3 linked regions of the Arabidopsis thaliana genome follow. The protein of the gene in region 2 purifies or fractionates together with the protein of the main gene of each other region. This does not show direct contact. Each region holds a gene or a part of one and is shown on either strand. Other genes may lie near its edges.

What was found.
Region 1: the proteins of AT3G54400 (region 2) and AT5G45280 fractionate together in Arabidopsis thaliana (co-fractionation; one large-scale study listed by BioGRID). This does not show direct contact.
Region 3: the proteins of AT3G54400 (region 2) and AT4G19410 fractionate together in Arabidopsis thaliana (co-fractionation; one large-scale study listed by BioGRID). This does not show direct contact.

Annotation. Positions count from the first base shown.
Region 1 is NC_003076.8:18,343,965-18,350,280, reverse strand, and holds AT5G45280 (Pectinacetylesterase family protein), read right to left. Parts: upstream 4,748-6,316; 5' UTR 4,575-4,747; intron 3,421-4,574; 5' UTR 3,420-3,420; coding exon 3,308-3,419; intron 2,935-3,307; coding exon 2,852-2,934; intron 2,744-2,851; coding exon 2,614-2,743; intron 2,516-2,613; coding exon 2,436-2,515; intron 2,297-2,435; coding exon 2,210-2,296; intron 2,117-2,209; coding exon 1,992-2,116; intron 1,901-1,991; coding exon 1,840-1,900; intron 1,753-1,839; coding exon 1,699-1,752; intron 1,608-1,698; coding exon 1,530-1,607; intron 1,439-1,529; coding exon 1,333-1,438; intron 1,250-1,332; coding exon 1,104-1,249; intron 907-1,103; coding exon 793-906; 3' UTR 586-792; downstream 1-585. Other genes in the region: AT5G45290 (RING/U-box superfamily protein), read left to right, coding at 1-111, 207-270. UniProt on the Arabidopsis thaliana protein: Hydrolyzes acetyl esters in homogalacturonan regions of pectin. In type I primary cell wall, galacturonic acid residues of pectin can be acetylated at the O-2 and O-3 positions.
Region 2 is NC_003074.8:20,139,446-20,144,356, forward strand, and holds AT3G54400 (Eukaryotic aspartyl protease family protein), read right to left. Parts: upstream 3,319-4,911; 5' UTR 3,155-3,318; coding exon 2,711-3,154; intron 1,914-2,710; coding exon 1,436-1,913; intron 1,202-1,435; coding exon 846-1,201; 3' UTR 580-845; downstream 1-579.
Region 3 is NC_003075.7:10,580,333-10,587,813, reverse strand, and holds AT4G19410 (Pectinacetylesterase family protein), read left to right. Parts: upstream 1-1,952; 5' UTR 1,953-2,186; intron 2,187-3,046; 5' UTR 3,047-3,047; coding exon 3,048-3,159; intron 3,160-3,281; coding exon 3,282-3,364; intron 3,365-3,657; coding exon 3,658-3,787; intron 3,788-3,909; coding exon 3,910-3,989; intron 3,990-4,126; coding exon 4,127-4,213; intron 4,214-4,298; coding exon 4,299-4,423; intron 4,424-4,592; coding exon 4,593-4,653; intron 4,654-4,747; coding exon 4,748-4,801; intron 4,802-4,900; coding exon 4,901-4,978; intron 4,979-5,080; coding exon 5,081-5,186; intron 5,187-5,288; coding exon 5,289-5,434; intron 5,435-5,512; coding exon 5,513-5,552; coding exon of another isoform or gene 5,553-5,626; exon of another isoform or gene 5,627-5,793; intron 5,794-5,824; exon of another isoform or gene 5,825-5,899; coding exon 5,900-5,971; intron 5,972-6,105; coding exon 6,106-6,175; intron 6,176-6,303; coding exon 6,304-6,413; intron 6,414-6,495; coding exon 6,496-6,610; intron 6,611-6,692; coding exon 6,693-6,777; and 2 more. Other genes in the region: AT4G19420 (Pectinacetylesterase family protein), read left to right, coding at 1-310; AT4G19400 (Profilin family protein), read left to right, coding at 5,905-5,971, 6,106-6,175, 6,304-6,413, 6,496-6,610, 6,693-6,777. UniProt on the Arabidopsis thaliana protein: Hydrolyzes acetyl esters in homogalacturonan regions of pectin. In type I primary cell wall, galacturonic acid residues of pectin can be acetylated at the O-2 and O-3 positions.

The sequences.
Region 1 (6,316 bases), on a different chromosome or scaffold from region 2:
ATGTTACATATGCCTTGTGGAATATGAAGAAGCAGACTCTATAAGGACACTTCCTTGTCATCATGAATTCCACAAAACCTGTGTAGATAAATGGCTCAAGGAGATTCACAGGTATGAATGTGATATATAATGTGAAGTTTGGTGACAACTAATTTTCCGCCTTTTTGGTGTGTACTAGATTATCTGATGATGTTTTTATGGCGAAGCAGAGTATGTCCGCTGTGTCGAGGAGATATTTGTAGACATGATCCATCATCGGAACAACATTGATTACAGTCTTATAGACATAATGCTGAAAGATTTTGATTCTACAAGAGACCAAGAACATTCATCGGTTTTTGCCTGCAACTGAATCAATATTGTTGTGTGTTTGCTTTTTGTTTCGTAGCTTACAATGGAAAACAAAAGTGACAGTTTAAAAGATGTAAACTTGTATACCAATTTGATCCAGCATATCTGTAAGAAAGTTAATCCATTGATGTTGTGTGTTTCATGAGCATCTTTGTTTCTGTATTGCAACTTCTGTAAATGTAGTCAAACTTAGTAGCTTATGTTCAAAAACATATTAAAAAAACCTTAATTTATAAGATTGATTCTTTATTAAAAAGAATTTAAGAAATTGCGAACCCAATAATAAGAGAGATTGATTATATATAACAGCTTAAACGATTGTAGAAGGGCAAAGGATTTTATTTATTCGAATGAAATTGTATCAATTATATTATTTTACTTTTAAATTTCAAGAACAATATTCCAAAGATGAATAAATTTTAAGACATCAATGAATAAATTTTAGTCTTCAGTAGATACTGCAGGGCAAGTAGGGTTGCAATTAAGCGATGAACAATCTACGTTCTGAAACGTACTCCTCTCAAAGAACCAATCTCCAACCGCCTTAGCCATTTTCTGAAAATAACAAATCCAAAACAATAATGAAAAATATACTACATATTTATGTTTTATTTTCAGGTTTATGAAAGATTCTAAAAAGTCTTAAATGTCATAGAAACCATTTGTAAATTTTTATAAACCCTTCTTAGATCAAAAGTTTGTGGTATTTTCCAATATTATTTTTACTTTGTACAAGAAAATCAAGTGATTACCGTATTCGCGACTGTGGGACCTTTGTCGCCGGACCAAGTGGCAGCGCTTCCACCTTGGCAATGAGCATGGCACGAGTCCAAGAACAATCCGTTCGTCGTCGCGGATCGAACAGGCGCCAACGCAGCCAACACTTGGTCTCTATATCCTGAAATATTATAATAAACCAATCAGTTTAGTCTAGAAGATATTAACCAAATTTGTTCATTAGTTCCGGTAGGTAAAACATACCTTGAACGGTTTGAAGCTGAGCGGCCGTACACTTCTTAAGATCAAGCTTACAAGTCTTCCATGCTTTGCTTTTATCAACAGAGGTTGGTGCCAATACATTCTTGATCTGCAAAAAAAGGAATAAAATTTTTAAATCCAAATCATATCTAGTGTTATTATTTCTACCGAAAACAATAATCATAAAAACAAAATCGAACCTGCCAAGAATCGAAGGCGGCATTGATGACGAAAAGCGGTGTTTGTAAGGTCTTAGCAACGTATTGAGGGAAGAAACACTGTGAAAATATAAACATAAGCGTTTATACAATATAACGAACTCGGAAAAATTTATGCCTTGTATATCAAGTATGTTTTCGATAAATTTACCAAATCAGGCTTCATACTTGAGGTGCAAGAAGCAGGTAGACTCTTTGCAGATCCCTGTAAATAGTGATCGAGATTAGTCGTGATGGGATACACCTGATATATTAGAGAAATATGGCCAAGGAAAAGAGAGATGTATCCTACGTGGGTCGCTACGACTTTGGCGTAGTAGGATTGGATGTAAGATCCTCCAGTGATATCCTTACTGTTCAAACAACAAAATAACAAAGGTTGTTATTTGTTATCTAGGATGCTAGCAATTGTATGTGTGACTCTCTAGAAATTATGAATGTTACCCGTGGATGAAGTAACCAGCGTCAGAAACACATTTGACCTTAGCCGTTTTAGGGAGAGTGGACTTGAACTGGTCGCAATGTAGAATCGCAGCCAATGCTCCAGCTGAACAACCGGAGAGTATAGCCTGAAATTCATGTAACCAAACATTTTAAATTCCAACACTTCAAAAATTCACTAACAATTAGAGAAACATATTTGAAATTATCATTTTTCATACGTTTTGAGCGTTGCTCATTCCCTTAGCCATAAGATCATCGATCACCGCACGCCAAACCCTAGCACCGCGAAAGAACAGCTTGTGCGTCTGAAAATATTCAAATTACACTCTTAAAAATTTGGAACTTCAACTAAATCGTTATGTGATATTCAATATAAATGATTAAAAATCATCCATGTCCCCATTTCAAGTAGTTAAGTTTAACGGTAATGGTCAAGTGAATTACCGGATCAACAGCTTCTATATCACCGGTGAAAGATGAACCATCGCAATACCGAACTTTGATTCTATTCCAATTGTAAAAGTCTGCAAAACACCCAAAATCCGATTCAGTCTCATTGCATAAGAAAACAAATAAAAAATTCGCTGAACAAAATGAAAAGAAATAAAAAAGAATTGAAAACCTGGATTGGTGCTTTGCTTGCCACCCAAGATACCGGAGAAACCAAAGTCTTTGTTCATAAGCTTAGAAGAACCCTTCATTGTACTTTTACGTTGAACGCATGTAGCTATATCAGTGCACCATCCTCCTCCCTAATGTATTCACATAAGTATATACATATTTAATTAATATCATTATATTTTGTACGTAGTTATTTATGATAACATCTAATAAAATGAGAAAATAAAAATAATACTAACTTCCATATGAACGATCCAATTGTTCACTCCTGAGCCCGATCCCTTATCGAAATGGTATGCTGGCGCGCTACCATCCAAACACACTACAGAAAATATAATATATATACAGTAATTAGTTTTTTTTGTTTGTCAAACATAGTAGATAATTAGTTATAACAATGGTTTTATCTACCAAATTTAAAATCCAAGTTAGTCTCATGAGTAAACACCGATAAAGGTTTTATTAATCTGAAGTATCCAAGATAATGAACATTTATATTGAATACCATTTTGAAATTTGGAAGACACAATTTATTTTTTTGGATTTTTAGAAACTTGACTCAAGACCATTTCCAATGTTGGCTCTATTTTTCTTACTATAAAGCCTCATCATTAATTCGATTTTTCTATCTATTCATACTATCCATTCTCGAACCTGATTCCTAATAAGCAATTGAAAATAAAATTATTGTCTACCAGCTCCTTTAGCCACTGCAGATTCAAGATACGTGATGGGCACAGCTCTGGCTCCGATCACCACCACGGCTAGCACTAAAATGCTTGACCACATTTGTTTTAGCCACGTCATTCTATAACAAAAGAAAAAAAGTTATAACTCACAAATTAGTAAAAATGAACTTGTCCGAACCAAACATAATTTATTATGGCTATAATGACAAAATCGAATAGAATGTTAATTATCTCCCAAATAATGTAGAGGATTGACTCTAACAAAAAGCTTTGAGATCAAGCGATGTGTTCGGATCTCAAGTAATCGTACATGTGTTATGTGTAACTTGCACATGGTTTTAATATAAAGCTTATCTTTTGTTGTTTCTGTATCAAAGTAAGAACTTAATGAATTGAGAAAATATATTCTATATTGAAAATATCACCATTGGTCCATTCAAAAAGTTGGGGAAACAAAATGACCAGTCCATGTGTGTGCATTAGTATTTTCCTCGATTGATGTAATCCACCGAAAAATAATTTATAATATTATTACTATAAATACGAAATATATAAATAAATTCCCTTCAATATTAATCATATTAGGAACAACGACTTACTCATAGTTATAATCAGTGAAGACACGAACAACTATTAGAAGGATAAGTTGCAATATTCAATTAGTAATCTTTCGTCCCTATATATTTGTATTAAATGCTATTTAGATGGTACAATGGTAGCTCTATGAACAATGAATGAATTAAAATGTGAGTGTATCCGAAAATACCCTTCTAGACCAAACTTAAACAGACCGCAATTCATGGCGTCGGGAGGGCCAAAATGAGAACCATGCATATGATGAGATTACGACTTATATCATTTTAAATTCAAAAACAATTTTGTTGAAACCAAACATTGCAATTTGTTGTAAGTGGATTATTGGACCGCCAACTAATTGGGGGAAAATAAAATTAAACCACTTCTTGGAAGAAAAAAAATGCCAAAAATAGGATTGAAATCAAAACATTGCAAGATCTTTTCCATCACGATTATATGACCGTAATTGTTTCTCTACTAATAGTTACTTGGTTAAATCCAAGAAATGACTCACAATTAACATATCTAGTTTTCAAAACATATCTAATAAGCTATGGTTGAGTAAGAAAATCTGAGTTTTAACTCGTAGATCAATATGAAAGAACTGGAAACTATCAAAGAAATAATAACAGAAACTTCATTTAAACAAATTCTAATAGAGACTTCATTTTTAGGAAAAGAGACGAAGAAGATTTACCTTGAGAAAATGACTCTTCAGATTCTTATTCACGTAGAGAAGAAAAGAAGTTTTTTTTTACAATGTAAAAATGAGTAACAGAGGACTCTTCGAGAGTAAGGTTTACAAGTTCAAAGAAAGCCATTGATGTCCTCTCTGTTATATAGATGGATACAGAATACCACACGTCGAAAGAAAACCTTTTTTTTTTCTTTTTCTTTTTTGCTTCATTTAATAAAAATAAATATAAAAGTTTTATTGTTACTTTCATGTATTTGCCAGGTCACGAGAATTCAACGTTAAAGACTCTCAAGAAAACTACCTTCGTAGTAATATGACCAGTATTCACATATCGTATATAATCTAATTCCTTTAAGTATTTTGTTCAATTTATTAATAGTTTCACATAAGAATATTACAATAAATAAACAGAAAAATGAATTCTATTTTTGTTTAGTTTATTATAAAGTTTTATGATTTATTATGAGGATGCAGTATTTCTTTTATACGTAGTAGTTGGTACAATAGCGATGACCTATATCGAAATCAAAAGTTATGTCTGGATGGAATCTAAGGAAGCTGCTGTACTAGTGTCCATATCAATTCGGCTCATGAGATGATTTTTGTCTTCAAAACTTTTAAAATTTGAAATTACATGACATTGAATTATTTCTGCAAAAGGAAATTAATTTGCCACGTGTGGTATTGTGTCGGTCCTCCTCCAAATGCACCGAATCAAGTTAATGCGGAATGCCGAGAGTTTAAGACCTAATGCTAATTTACTTACATTATTCTGACTTTTTGTCTTCCTCGTCTTCATAATGTATTCAATAACTTGAATAAATGAATCATTACTTTAATTTTTTACCTTCTTTCTCCACAAATGAATATTAGGGTAGAAGTTAAACAGATTTATATCTCTTCATTATATTTTTGTAAAAAATGATTGATATTGTTTCGGTGCAGAAGTCAAATTATTAAGTAGCTTACTATAATCCTTGAATCGGCGTTCTTTATCCTCAATTAAAAAGATTCTTTATATATAGAAGAACCATATATTCTTGTCATTGAGAAGGTTGTGTGTATCTCATAACCAATTAAAATAAAATGGAAATTTACGTACCAACATGGTGAATTTTTCAATATACGTCAAAAAACCATTTATGATATGCTGGTGGAGGATGTTTCATTATGAAGGTAGATTTATGATCAAAAGAACATCAAACTTATTTAAAATTGTTTGGATATTACAATTATCTGTCTATGTCTATAGGTATATTAGTATTTATTACTATAATTTTAGCGGACTACTTCAAGAAAAGAGAAAAATTATCTCATATTGATTAATGTATAGTTGATAAGTCTGTAATTAGTATGAATCTTGATGTAGTATGTCTAACTATAAAAATAAATGAATTTGGGAAAGATCATTACCAAATGATGTAAGAGGAAGGTAGGGTCCGTGGGACTAGGAGGAGAAAGGGATAAGGAAAGTGGCCTGGAAGATCTGTCGATTACAATTTACCAATTTTTAAAATTCTTTGTTTTTTCTCTAAACAGAAAAAATGAGAATTATGTTATATATTTCCAAAACCAAAACGCGTTTAATAATACAAGTACTAAATAATACAGAGAGAGCATATAGGTTTTGACTTTGACTTTTGAGTCACGACTTTGTTACATTTATTTGAACACATGATGTTTGTATTTAAATAATCTGAAAATTTTGAATATGTGATAGACCATAACATGTAGTCTATAAT
Region 2 (4,911 bases):
TGTATGCTTTTTTTCTCTTTTTAGGTGTATGGTGGAGTGAGTCTGGCTGTTAGCGTTGATGTCAAGCCAAACCGCAAAATCCATTTGGCAAAGATGGGAATGAACCTAATGGAAGTGGGGTTTACACTTGTCACTCTCTCACCCATTCTATGTTCCACTCTTTTTCTTCTCTCATGTTTGCGCAAAGATACTAATTCGGGGTTGTTCCTTTTTCACTTATTGAAAGTGTATATCTTTCAAAACATTCAGAAATTTTGTGGGTTAGTGTTCACTAAAATCTTTGGTTAATTATCAAGTCATCCAAATATTACAAGTACCAAATATTAGGACAAGTCTTTAATTTTCACACCTTTTTTCTTACCTATATGAGAGAAGTTTTGTTGTAAGAGTGAATGTGTTTCCTCGTTAGTGGAGTATGATGAACTATGCAACTTCAAGGCAGCACATCGGACATTTTGGGGTCTACAAGATTATCATCGTAGATTTTTAACGCGCCATTTAGAACTTCTCAGTCTCATTTGGGTGATGAAAATGCCTTCCAAGGCATAATCATTTTTTGTTGACATTTTGGTACTTTCTCATGAAGTTGATGCATATGATTATACTTGGAAGTTGGAACATATATATATTTAAAATAATAAAGGTCCTCTGTTCCAGGCTTATTGCATCCGCAAATTCATGAGTACAATCCTTTTTGAACAGAGAACATCGAAAGAAAATCATACGAAAGATTTTACAATCGTTTGAGAATTAACAAAAATCATTAACTTATATAGTTTCCAAAATTCAAAAGTTCAAAACGCATTACGAAATCGACCGAAAACAAAAATACAAATCGATAAAACTTAGGTGCAAGTTTCACGGGAAATTCCGAGCCTGGAATTTGGAACGTCGATGAGAACTCGGTGGTTCTGTTGCTGCATACTAGCGATGACGTTAAGGACAGAGTTAACGTTGACCGGAGCTGCAGCCATGGCGAGGCAGCTGAGGTTACCTGCGGAGCTGTGGATGAGAAGGTTGTCTGGAGGCAGAGTCACGTTCATTCCGGCGAACATAAACGTCACCGACGGGAACACGACGGAGCCGGAGTAGCATGTGTCGAAACCTCCTAGTGAAGTTGCGTTTGCGTTCTTAACACGTCTCCTGAACTCGTTTCTCACCGCCACGTAAGCTGGTTCGACTAGCCTTGTGTAGACCGTCCCTGCGTACATTCAAAAGTGTTTTGTAATTAAAAATCAAATTTCTTTTCTAAAATATAATTTTTATATGAAAATTTGGATTGGCCATTTTTGTTTTGATTGTAAAATCATTTTTAGTCCAGAAATATCACGTGTTACGTGTGAGAGAGCAGAGCAATTAGGTTACTTCCATCGCACGACTTTTCAGTTCTCAAGCGAAAAATAAAAAATATTAAGGAGGGTTGAGAAGTCCATACCCGAGTCAAAGATGGTGCCGGCTCCGGTGGCCGGATCAAAGGCGAGTGCACTTGTAGGAATATCCACAATTTTGTTTCCGACACGAATCCCAACCAAGTTAACATAGTAAAGCGATGATCTTCTAGGGTTCTTTAACAATGGAGTGGTCTTGATCCGGATCGGTTGGTTCTTAGGTCCCAATCTTAGTGATCCGGAGAAATTGCTGGACTTACTATTAGGCAAGCAATACGAGAATGTAGACTGATAAAGATTTTGTGACTGTGAGATTAAAGACAATGGACCACGACCTAAGCCCATGAGTCCTTGCGCTGGCAACGATGTTCCACTAGCTTTGTTGATGCACCCAAAGGTGTAGTTTGGGATGACGTCACTGGCCAATGTTAGTGTGTCTTGTGTCAGATATGCTTCGATGGTTGAACCACCGTAGGTCATGTTGAAACCACATGATTTGCTTACTGTGCAACTTGGATTTGGAGCCTGCAATAAAAAAAACTCTTTATTGATTAATATTTAGAATTTTTTTTGTTCTTTGAGTTTAACAACGTATTTCCATAAAGAATTGTTTTATCCATCTTGGATCTGGTTATTAAATTGCGCTACTAACGATGTGTTACGTTATTTAATTGCAGTTGTAAGTGGCGTTTTTGTATTATAGGCAAAACCTAACTAGCATGACGACAAAGTATATATATAGATCAAAGTTCAAACAGTAAAATATGCTCTACTAGTTGGATTGTTTATAAATTTCTTGTATAAATAATAATATACCCGTGACTTAGACTCATGGTACCAAAAGGTCCAAAACCCGTGACTAGACTTCTCGATCATGGTGTAATAACACGCCAAAAACGAAGTTCACATTCACATCTTTTGTGTAGATGGATCCAAAAATTGACGTAGAGGCATTCACATTACGCCTGACATTCGGTTCGTATTTCGGTTTTGGTTTTAAATTTCTTGTTTTGTTAAAAATAATCAAGTCCAAATACTAACCATTTTTTTTCTTTCGATTTGAAACATTTATGTATGTTCTGATTAGATCTTGTTTTGAACAAAGTAAAAATGCGAATTATTTGTTAGTATAATTTAAATGTATTTTTTGTATATCGATTTTCCCGGTTTATTCAGTACAAAAGTATCGTTAAGTATGAATGTATGATATGATTCAAAAAAATTACGTTGAGTATAGTTTTCATTTTTCAAGTCCATCCAGAGAATGCATGCACATATCTAATTTATACGGAGGGTATAACTATAAAGCAATATTTAGTTACCTGTTTACACTGAGGAGCTTCGCATTGAAGAGTACGAGAGGAGCTTGACTTGGAAGGGTCAAAGAGAACAGAGGAAGAACAGCCAACGCAGCCAGAACAAGGAATCCAAGCAGCGTCATTGCTAGTGTCAAGAGCCACGAGCATGGGCTGAGCCGGTGTCCCGATGTTAGCCCTCACGATGTAAGTCGGGCTCTGAACGATGGCCCGACCAGAGGCGATTGGAACTGATGATTTCCTAACGCCAGCGAGGCTTGACAAGTATAGGAAACGAGCCTTATCTTGAAGAAGTGTATCTGCCCATGAAACAGAAGTTTTGAATGGAGAACATAGACTGTTAATGTGGAACACTCTTAGATCTGAGGAATGGCTCTTTTCATTGCAGTTTATGGATTCAGATTTCAAGATTAAGAGAGAGATTAACAAAATCAAGAGATGGGATCTCATTGTTTAAGACCTTGATTTTGTCTTTGTGGTTTCTAGTGTTTGTAGAGTGAATGTGTGAGTGTGTGTTTATATAGTGAGTGATATACGATGAGTGTGTAGAAAGTAATAAGAATATAAAAATGAAGAGTGGGGTTTTGTATATCGTAGAGAGAACAGTCTGTATTCCATCTCCTATTTTTTCGTTGTTTCTATCTGTTTTTTGGGTCCACACTAATATTGGCTCTCTTCTCTATCGACATGCGCGTTGCTCTCCATCCACAAAAACTCATTACCCAAGGTGTTGTAATTTTTAGACTCATTATCGAATGGTAATCAAGTCAAACTGGAAGTCTAGCTGATTAATCGGTATATTGACTCTTAGCAAAAAAAAAAAAAAATCGGTATATTGATAAAACCGATTCTCATTCTAACAAAATAGTTACAGTTTTGATAAATATCCAATTTATACAACGATAAGGGAAATAGCAGAGGAACGTGTGGAGTGGTATTGTTTAAGAGATCCGAGAAACTGAGTTGAATTTTTTTTTTCTCAAAGAGAAAGATCAAAGGTTTCACGTGAGGAGTAGAAAGTGGAAGACCGACATAAATGCATTATGTATTGTTGCATATTATGGAATGTATCAAAACTACCCAATACTCATTACCATGTGGTGGGTTATATCTCACATTGGCCTCTTCTCCACTATGTAGTGCTGTCCATCAATTATTAAAAAAATTAATGGTGTAAAGTATCTTCATTGTTGTTTGTTTCTTAAGAGTTGAATGTGATATGTCAATATCCTCTATACTAAAATATTTGATATAATTTGATAGAGTTTTCATGTTGTGTGGATTGAACCAAAGAAAATTTTGACCCTTGTATGTAGTTGTAAGTAGCTTTGCTTGTTCTTAGTCTCCACTTAGTCACTCGTTTTGTAAGAAAAAAAGTGGTTGCAGCGAAAATATAACAAATGTAAAATTTAATAAAGTTACACGATTTAACAAATGTAAGCCAAAAATGAATATCTCGTCGGAAATTTACTCAAAAGTTACACGTCTTAAGCTTACAAACTCACTTTATTTTTCCGATCAACATTCCCTTAAAAAACAACATTGTTTTACTTTCTTCTTTTCTATTTTTTAAAATGTGAAATGCACTTAAAAAGCTTAATTCCTTTTAAACTAATGGAAACAAATTCTTTCAGTGTTTATTAATATCAATGGATCGGATAACTCAAGAGTCTAGATAATGAAGTAACTTATACATAAAAAAACTTTTTAAGTGCGGTTTGCATAATTTAATTTGTTTCCTATTTAGTATATAATAACCCATTTGACTAAATATATAATACTCTTTCTTAAATCTTTAATACTCTTTTTTTTTAATCCCACTAGTTTGCGTGTACGCCACTTCTAAATTTATGTTAGTATCAGACCTTGACCTTAACACTGTACAATGGGAAGAGTCCCAAACATAGTAGGAGTAGTCGGAAATTAGAGCATCTCCATCAGTAGTCTCTCATATAGTTTCTCATTAACTAAAAAATATAAAATGATAATAAAGTAGAAGAGAGATTGAGAATAGTTTCTCTGCAGAGAAACTTTAGAATAATGATTAAGAGACTATGTGTATATGTGTGTTTATAATTGGACAGAAGTTAAATCATAATAAAATATCATTATTTATTTTTTTTAGAAACTTTTTGAAATATCTCACCAATGGAGATTACGCTCTCTTTTTTTTTTTTCCTTATATATTCCCAGTCATAACTTGGAGT
Region 3 (7,481 bases), on a different chromosome or scaffold from region 2:
TTCTTGCTACACTCACTGCCAAACCGAGACACAAACTTCATGGTTCTGGCAAGATTCTCCAATTCTAAACCGAACGGTACAAAAAAAAGCAAACATTCTCCAAATTCTTGTCAAACAAAATGTCATTAGAATCAATGTTACATTGTGTTTTCATGATTCATTATTTCTTCTTAATTTGCAGACAATAGCAAAAGCTGTTGGAGATTGGGTTTATGACAGAACATTGTTTCAGAAGATAGATTGTCCTTACCCTTGTAACCCTACTTGCCACCACAGGGTTTTCACTCCTCTAGATGCTCCTCCAATTTAAGTGATTCTACCATATACAGTATAGATTTATTATTATTTTGAAAAGAAAATTTGCTTATAAATGATTCATTTGTTAGATACATATAGTGAAATATTCCTAGGGTTTAGCTATAGAAGATGAAAAAGAAAAAGAGTGTGATTAATTCTTGAGTGTTGAGAATAAGCAATAGGAGTAATTTTCTTCAGCACTTGTCTTGTGTGCTGTTTAAATTGCTCTGTTTCTCTTCTATTCTGATGTAAAATGCAAATTGTTACCTTTATCCTATCAAATAAAGTATAATTCTTTTCTCAGTTGTATCAATCTTTTTCATTCTGAATTAGTGAATTCATTATTTTGTGAATTGGTTGTTTGTTTGGCACCTGGTTATATACCACATTTTTTGTCTTTATTTTCAAATTCTTAAAAGATTTCCATATAATATGGATACAACACTTCGATGATCAGATCTCAGGTTTCTTCGGAGAGGTTCGGTGACTAAACGGTACTAAGAAAAAACTTTAATTCGACTCTGTTTACATGTTTGGGCCCTGTACACTTTTCTCCTTTTGGCCCAATCAAAAAAAAATGCAACTACTATTTATATTTTCAAAACATAACGTCATTATTGGTTTATTGGTTTGATCTTTTGGGAATGAGGAGATTATTTTTTTTTGAATGAAAATTTTTCTGAAAATAAATTTGATGTTTTGTGTTTGCTTTTTTGTAAATCTATTAGATATAGTTAGTTACTCAGTGAGCTTAAGTCTCCTTTTTCTATAATTGTTGTATACAAATTTAGTATTAATTGTCACAGTTTTGTGATTGAGGTCATCTCTTATGGCTTACACGTTGAGCTTCGTTATATAGTCGAGCCATTTTGTAAAGAAAATTTGAGAAATATAAATTTGTATTGCTACGAATCTTAACTTTTTTGTATTATTCATGTTTTATGTGAAACCCATATGCAATTATGCTATCTGTATTATTTTTCACCCGGTTTCGGATCGATCATTTTTCCGAGGAAATAGTGGAGAAAATCAATGAAAAGGAATTACACTTGAGATGTAACAATTATTCCTTTTATTTCGTAAAATTTAACGAATTCTAATTATATTTTAATTCTAGATCTTAATTACTCGTGTTATAATAAAAAGATCAAAAAGAGAAAGGTCTGAACTTTAAAATTTTGTTACTTTACGAAAAATCTCTAACATGTTTTGGCTGTTGCGCAGCTAACTCGATCGGTGTGCAGTGCACCGACACTTTTAGTCCTCGTGCCAAACCATACTTTTTATTTCTTATTTAATTGTGATTCATAGATTTTTGTTTTACAAAGATAACAAGCTAGGATGAATTATTATAACACGACTGTGAAAAGTTTAACAAAAGAAAGACGCATCTTATAAGATTGATGATAACTTTAAAAACTGAATATCTAAATGAATATGCATATAGAATCAGTATTCTCAAGGTCCGAGCATAATCTCATTTTATTTTTATCGATTGGTTAACATGAAAGAACCAATTTCGAAAACACATTGATAAAAAAAACAATTATACAACTTAGTTTCTTGACGTTGGATAACCTGGCGAATCTACTAACACATGTGCACGCTATGCCAGTCACAAGTATCTTATAAAAAGAAAAAAGAAAAAAGAAAACTTTATGCAAATTAAAGCAAAAGAGTAAATAAAAAAGCAAATTAAAAAGAAGAAAAAGTTTGATTTTTTATTTGCAACTTGTGGATATGTATCTATATGATGAAGAAGACATCAATGACTGGCTTCCATAAACTTTTAAAGCTCTCTCTTTCAGATTCCTCTCTATCCATTTCATTAACACCAAAACCTTTTTCTTCTCTCTAACCAAACAAGAAGAGGACTCCATTTTCGCAAGGTATGCTTCATTTGTATCGATCTTTTTATAGTTCTGCAAGTTTGATATGTACTCAGAATAAATTGAATATTTTGTTTTAGTCTTGTTAGTTAGAACTACAGTATATATTACTATTAGCCATTTAGGATTTCAAGAAGATTGCATATTAATATCAGATCATTAATGTGAATGACATCGAAGGTTACTTCGGGGAATTGATAATTTGAAACGATTCAACACATTTCTCTGCGATCCAACAAGTTGAATATGAATAAGGGGATGATATGATTTTTCTTACATAGTAAAAGTTGAGATGATGTGAAAGGGTATTTTTGGTATCTCAAGATACAAGCATCCCATAATAGCGATTAGCAATTTTTTTTTTTTTTTTTTTTTTTGTCAAACCGATTAGCAATGTTAAGTAATGAATTATGATAGATTTGTAATGATAATAATTGTTTAGTGCTCTACACTCTGAGCAAGGTTATAATTACAGACAACTAGAAAAGTTGGTCTGAGAAAAGCTATAAGATATTTAAAGACGCACATGGACGATGGATGTCTTTTTGTTTGTTTGTTTTGTTCTTGGCTAGTTATCACATTTGACATTTCTGATAATCTACTTTTGAATAGTCTAAATTTCCAATTTGTAATAACGTGGATTCGAGGAATCTTAAAACAATGGATTACATAATAGTATAATTATAAAAAATATTATCCACTCGAAAATGTAGGTAATTTCAAAATAAATAAATTTGTCAGTCCGCATGTTACCATATGAAAGCAGTAATTAATTCGCATTAGAAATGTACTATTATATTATTATTGAAATTAACCAAATCGTAAGCTTGTTTATTTATTTATTTTCCAAAAAATGATAGAATGGGGAGGCTTAAGCAATGTTGGTCAAGTCTGCTAGTATTGGCAGTGTTGGTGATCGGAACTGGAGCCGTTCCCATCACTTATCTCCAAAGCGCCGTCGCTAAAGGAGCCGGTAATATGCAACAACGGTTTACATAATACTTATATTCATATTTACACAATTTATCGGATAATTCAATAAGTTTTTGAGAACATATATATATATATATATATATATATATGTTTATTATGTAGTGTGTTTGGATGGGAGTGCACCAGCTTACCATTTTGACAAAGGGTTTGGTTCGGGTGTTAACAATTGGATCGTCCACATGGAGGTAAAGAAACTTGTTTTTTGTTGCAAATTTCTGGACCACTTGATATATTTTTTTGTCGTTGAAATGACTGTACATATAAATCGAGTTCTTTTTTTTTTTTTTTTAATATATATAAATCGTAGTTCTTTATAGTTGTGTGATTAGTTAAAACTTAAAAACATTGCGGCGTTTATCGTTAGCATCTTATGTTTTTTTTTTAATAATTATTTTACTGAAAAGAAATGTAACATAAAAATAAGGTAGAATTAGTTGAATAAAATTTGAATGAAGTGTATATGTTGTTTATATGTTAGGGAGGAGGATGGTGTACCGACGTTGCTTCATGTAATGAACGTAAGGGTACAATGAAGGGTTCTTCCAAATTCATGAACAAAGACTTTGGATTTTCCGGTATCTTGGGTGGCAAGCAAAGCACTAACCCAGGTATATTACTGTTTTTTTTTTTGTTTCTAATGATCCAGAGGTTTGTGGGAGAGTTATGATCAATTAATGCTGTTGAATCTATCTTGATTTTCATAAAAAAAAAATGATTTTCTTTTGCTCAGATTTCTACAATTGGAACAGAATCAAAGTACGATATTGTGACGGATCATCCTTTACCGGCAATGTAGAAGCCGTTAATCCGGTAATTTAGTGACTAAATTGTGATATTTCATAAATATTATTTTTAGTCAAAACATTCACATTTTTCTTGAAGTACTATAAATTCTTGCAGTCAAAATTGTATGATTTATATATAGTCGGAACCTTGAATAATTTCAGGCAAACAAGCTGTTCTTCCGCGGTGCCCGAGTTTGGCGTGCGGTGGTTGATGATCTTATGGCTAAAGGAATGAAAAACGCTCAAAACGTATATTATATGTGCATATTTCGACATCTCTCTTTCTTTAATGTGTATCACTTAAAAAAAATTAACATCTTATAAAACTTTTCAGGCTATACTCTCCGGTTGTTCAGCTGGAGCATTGGCTGCGATTCTTCATTGTGACACTTTCCGTGCCATACTTCCCCGAACAGCTAGCGTCAAATGTGTTTCTGATGCCGGTTACTTTATCCACGGGTACGTGTACATACTCTTAGGCGTTGGCCAAAAAAGTATATGGAACCAAACCGAAAGTCTAAACTAAATTACTAAACCCAACCTAAACTGATAACAACCAAAATAAACAAACCGGTTTTATTTGATGTCAACAGTGATTATTATCACTGAATTCGATTTTATGAAACAGTAAAGATATCACAGGAGGATCATACATTCAATCATATTACAGCAAAGTCGTCGCACTCCACGTATTACTCTTTATCTAATATATCTCTCAATTGCTAATTCTCTTCAACCATGAGGTGAATCCTAAAGTCAGTGTTGCTTAATATCTTTTTGTAGGGATCTGCAAAGAGTCTTCCTGTTTCTTGTACCTCAAAAATGAAACCAGAACTCGTACGTGCTTAACTAAACATACCAACATCGTTGATCTTGACACTTTTTTCCATCTATATATGGACCGATATCAAAGACTTCTCCGATCGTTTTTTGCAGTGTTTCTTCCCGCAATACGTCGTTCCTTCCATGCGAACACCGCTCTTTGTCATCAATGCCGCTTTTGATTCTTGGCAGGTCATATACTAACCATGATATACTTATATACATAAACATTCATTTCATTATAAAATATACACAAATCGGATACATATAAACTGAATTTGGTGATTTTTTCAGATCAAGAACGTTTTGGCTCCAACTGCTGTTGATAAGGGAAAAGAGTGGAAGAATTGTAAGCTTGATCTTAAGAAATGTAGTGCCGCTCAGCTCAAAACCGTCCAAGGTAATTCCATAATTGTTCCGGTTTATATTGGTTTGGTTTTGAATACGATCAGTTCGGTTTATCGAGATTTAAATTTAAACCGGGTTGGTTAAAACATTTCAGGGTTTAGAGATCAGATGATGCGAGCATTGTCACCGGTTCACAGTACACCGTCTAGAGGATTGTTCTTAGACTCGTGTCACGCTCATTGCCAAGGAGGAAGCGCCGCCTCTTGGTCCGGTGACAAAGGTCCCCAAGTCGCCAATACGGTAAAATTCAATCCTCCAATACTTTTAAAATCTTTTCAATTCGATTTTAGTTCTGATTTTGATTATTTGTTTTTGCAGAGAATTGCGAAAGCAGTCGGAAACTGGTTTTATGGCCGGAGTGCATTTCAGAAGATAGATTGTCCGTCGCCGACTTGTAATCCTACTTGTCCTGCTATCTCTACTGAAGACTAGAATCATCTCTAAATGTTCAATTTTTTTTAATTTGAAATTGAAAGAGCTCGCAAACATTTTGGATTTGTTTTCCAAATCGGATCAATAATAATCACTGCAATTTGAATAAAGAGTATATCTTTACTTTGTATTATAATCGAGTTTACCTATAAAGTTTTTAACTTTTTATACGAATCCAGAGAGAAAGAGAGAGACTGTGTACTACTCGGTGCTCTGCTTCTCTCATTTTGTAGTGAAGTGAAGAACCCTAAAAATCATTGCTTTATTAAAAAGCATCGATGGATTCGGCGTTTGTGGACAGAGCTTGGGACAAATGGGTTACTACGGGTAACGTTGGTTCTTCAGGTAAGTTCTCTCTGGATTAGGGTTATTGTTTTATTCTTCTTCTTGTTTGGGAGATTTTGAAAAGAAGATGAAGAACCCAGAAAGAAAGAATAAGATGCTTCTTTTCGGTGATTTGATTGTTGGAATTTGTTCAGGTAATCCATTGAAGGCTGCTATTTTGATTAACTATGATCCTACAGGACCTTCTCGTCTCTTATCAACAATGTAAGCTAATTCATCAAGTTTCAATATCTACTGCTCTCTGTTTCTACTTAAAGGTTGTTCTTTTAGATTGGTTATTTGCAGTAAAAGATCGAAACTTTGATGTATGCTTAATTTTGAGTTATTGGCAGAGCTAAACAAGAAGGGATTGATATCTATCCAGTTGATCTAAAGCAATTTATAGATTTCATGAGATGTGGCAATCTTCCTACTGAGACTTTTGTTCTTGGATCCAACCAATGTAAAAGTTTGTTTGTTTGGTTTTATTTCTTTTGCTTGGAGAGTATGATTTGTGGTTTAATAATATGATTTGGAATCTGCAGACATAATAACATCTATTCATGAGAACTGGTTCGCTGCTAGGTGTTTAAACACTTCCCAGCCTGCTGGTGAAGGAGCTATTGTTATGCAGACTGCGGTTTACGTGTTGGTTGCTCTGTGAGTGCACTGAATACTTTGCTCAAGTGCATATCTTACTCTTACATTTTCAGTTCAAAAATAAGATGGTTATGATTTGCAGATATGATGGATCAATTGGTTCAGCTTCTCAAGCTATGGCTGCAGCTGATCAGTTTGCATCGCAGCTGAGTCGGAAAAACTTCTAGCATCATCATTTGCGAAATCACGAGTATTTACATTGTTCTCTGTTATCAATGTAAACAAGCTTTGACTATGTTTTGTGAAGGATCTTTGTGTTTCGATAACTGGTTTTTCATTTTATCTCATCTTAATCAATTGGTTTTTGAACAAGTCATATCAGCATGTACAGTCGTTTTGATTCAGTTCCAGTCCTGAATGCTTGTTGGATTTCCTTTATCAGAAAGCGGTGTCATCGGTGTTGTTTTGGGTAGTGGGGATCATGTTTGGGACATAGTGGACACACCCTGCAATTACCATTCATAGCAAGTGAGAGTCCCTTTCAGAACCATTATGTTGTGTGAGAACAGATCATCATCAATATGATTAGACTAGAGATTGCTGATCAAGAACCTAAATAAGAACATAAGTATACCCTCTTAGAGACGCATACATAGCGAATAAGGCAGTCAATATGATTCAGCCGAAGTAGTGAGATCTCTCTATCTTATTCTTCTTGCTGATATGGTCAAGGACTAAATGTGAAATCGAGAATGAAGAAATTATTGTTTGAACTTCTTAAAAGAAATTTATTTTTGTTTGAATTTTAATTAATATCCAAACTAATTATGTACTTTATAAGAGGGAGTAATAATGAAGTTAAGATATTTTCTTTGCCAAAAATAAGAAAGAGAAAAATCCAAAAAAGAAGAAACAAGATTAGATGCCCTGA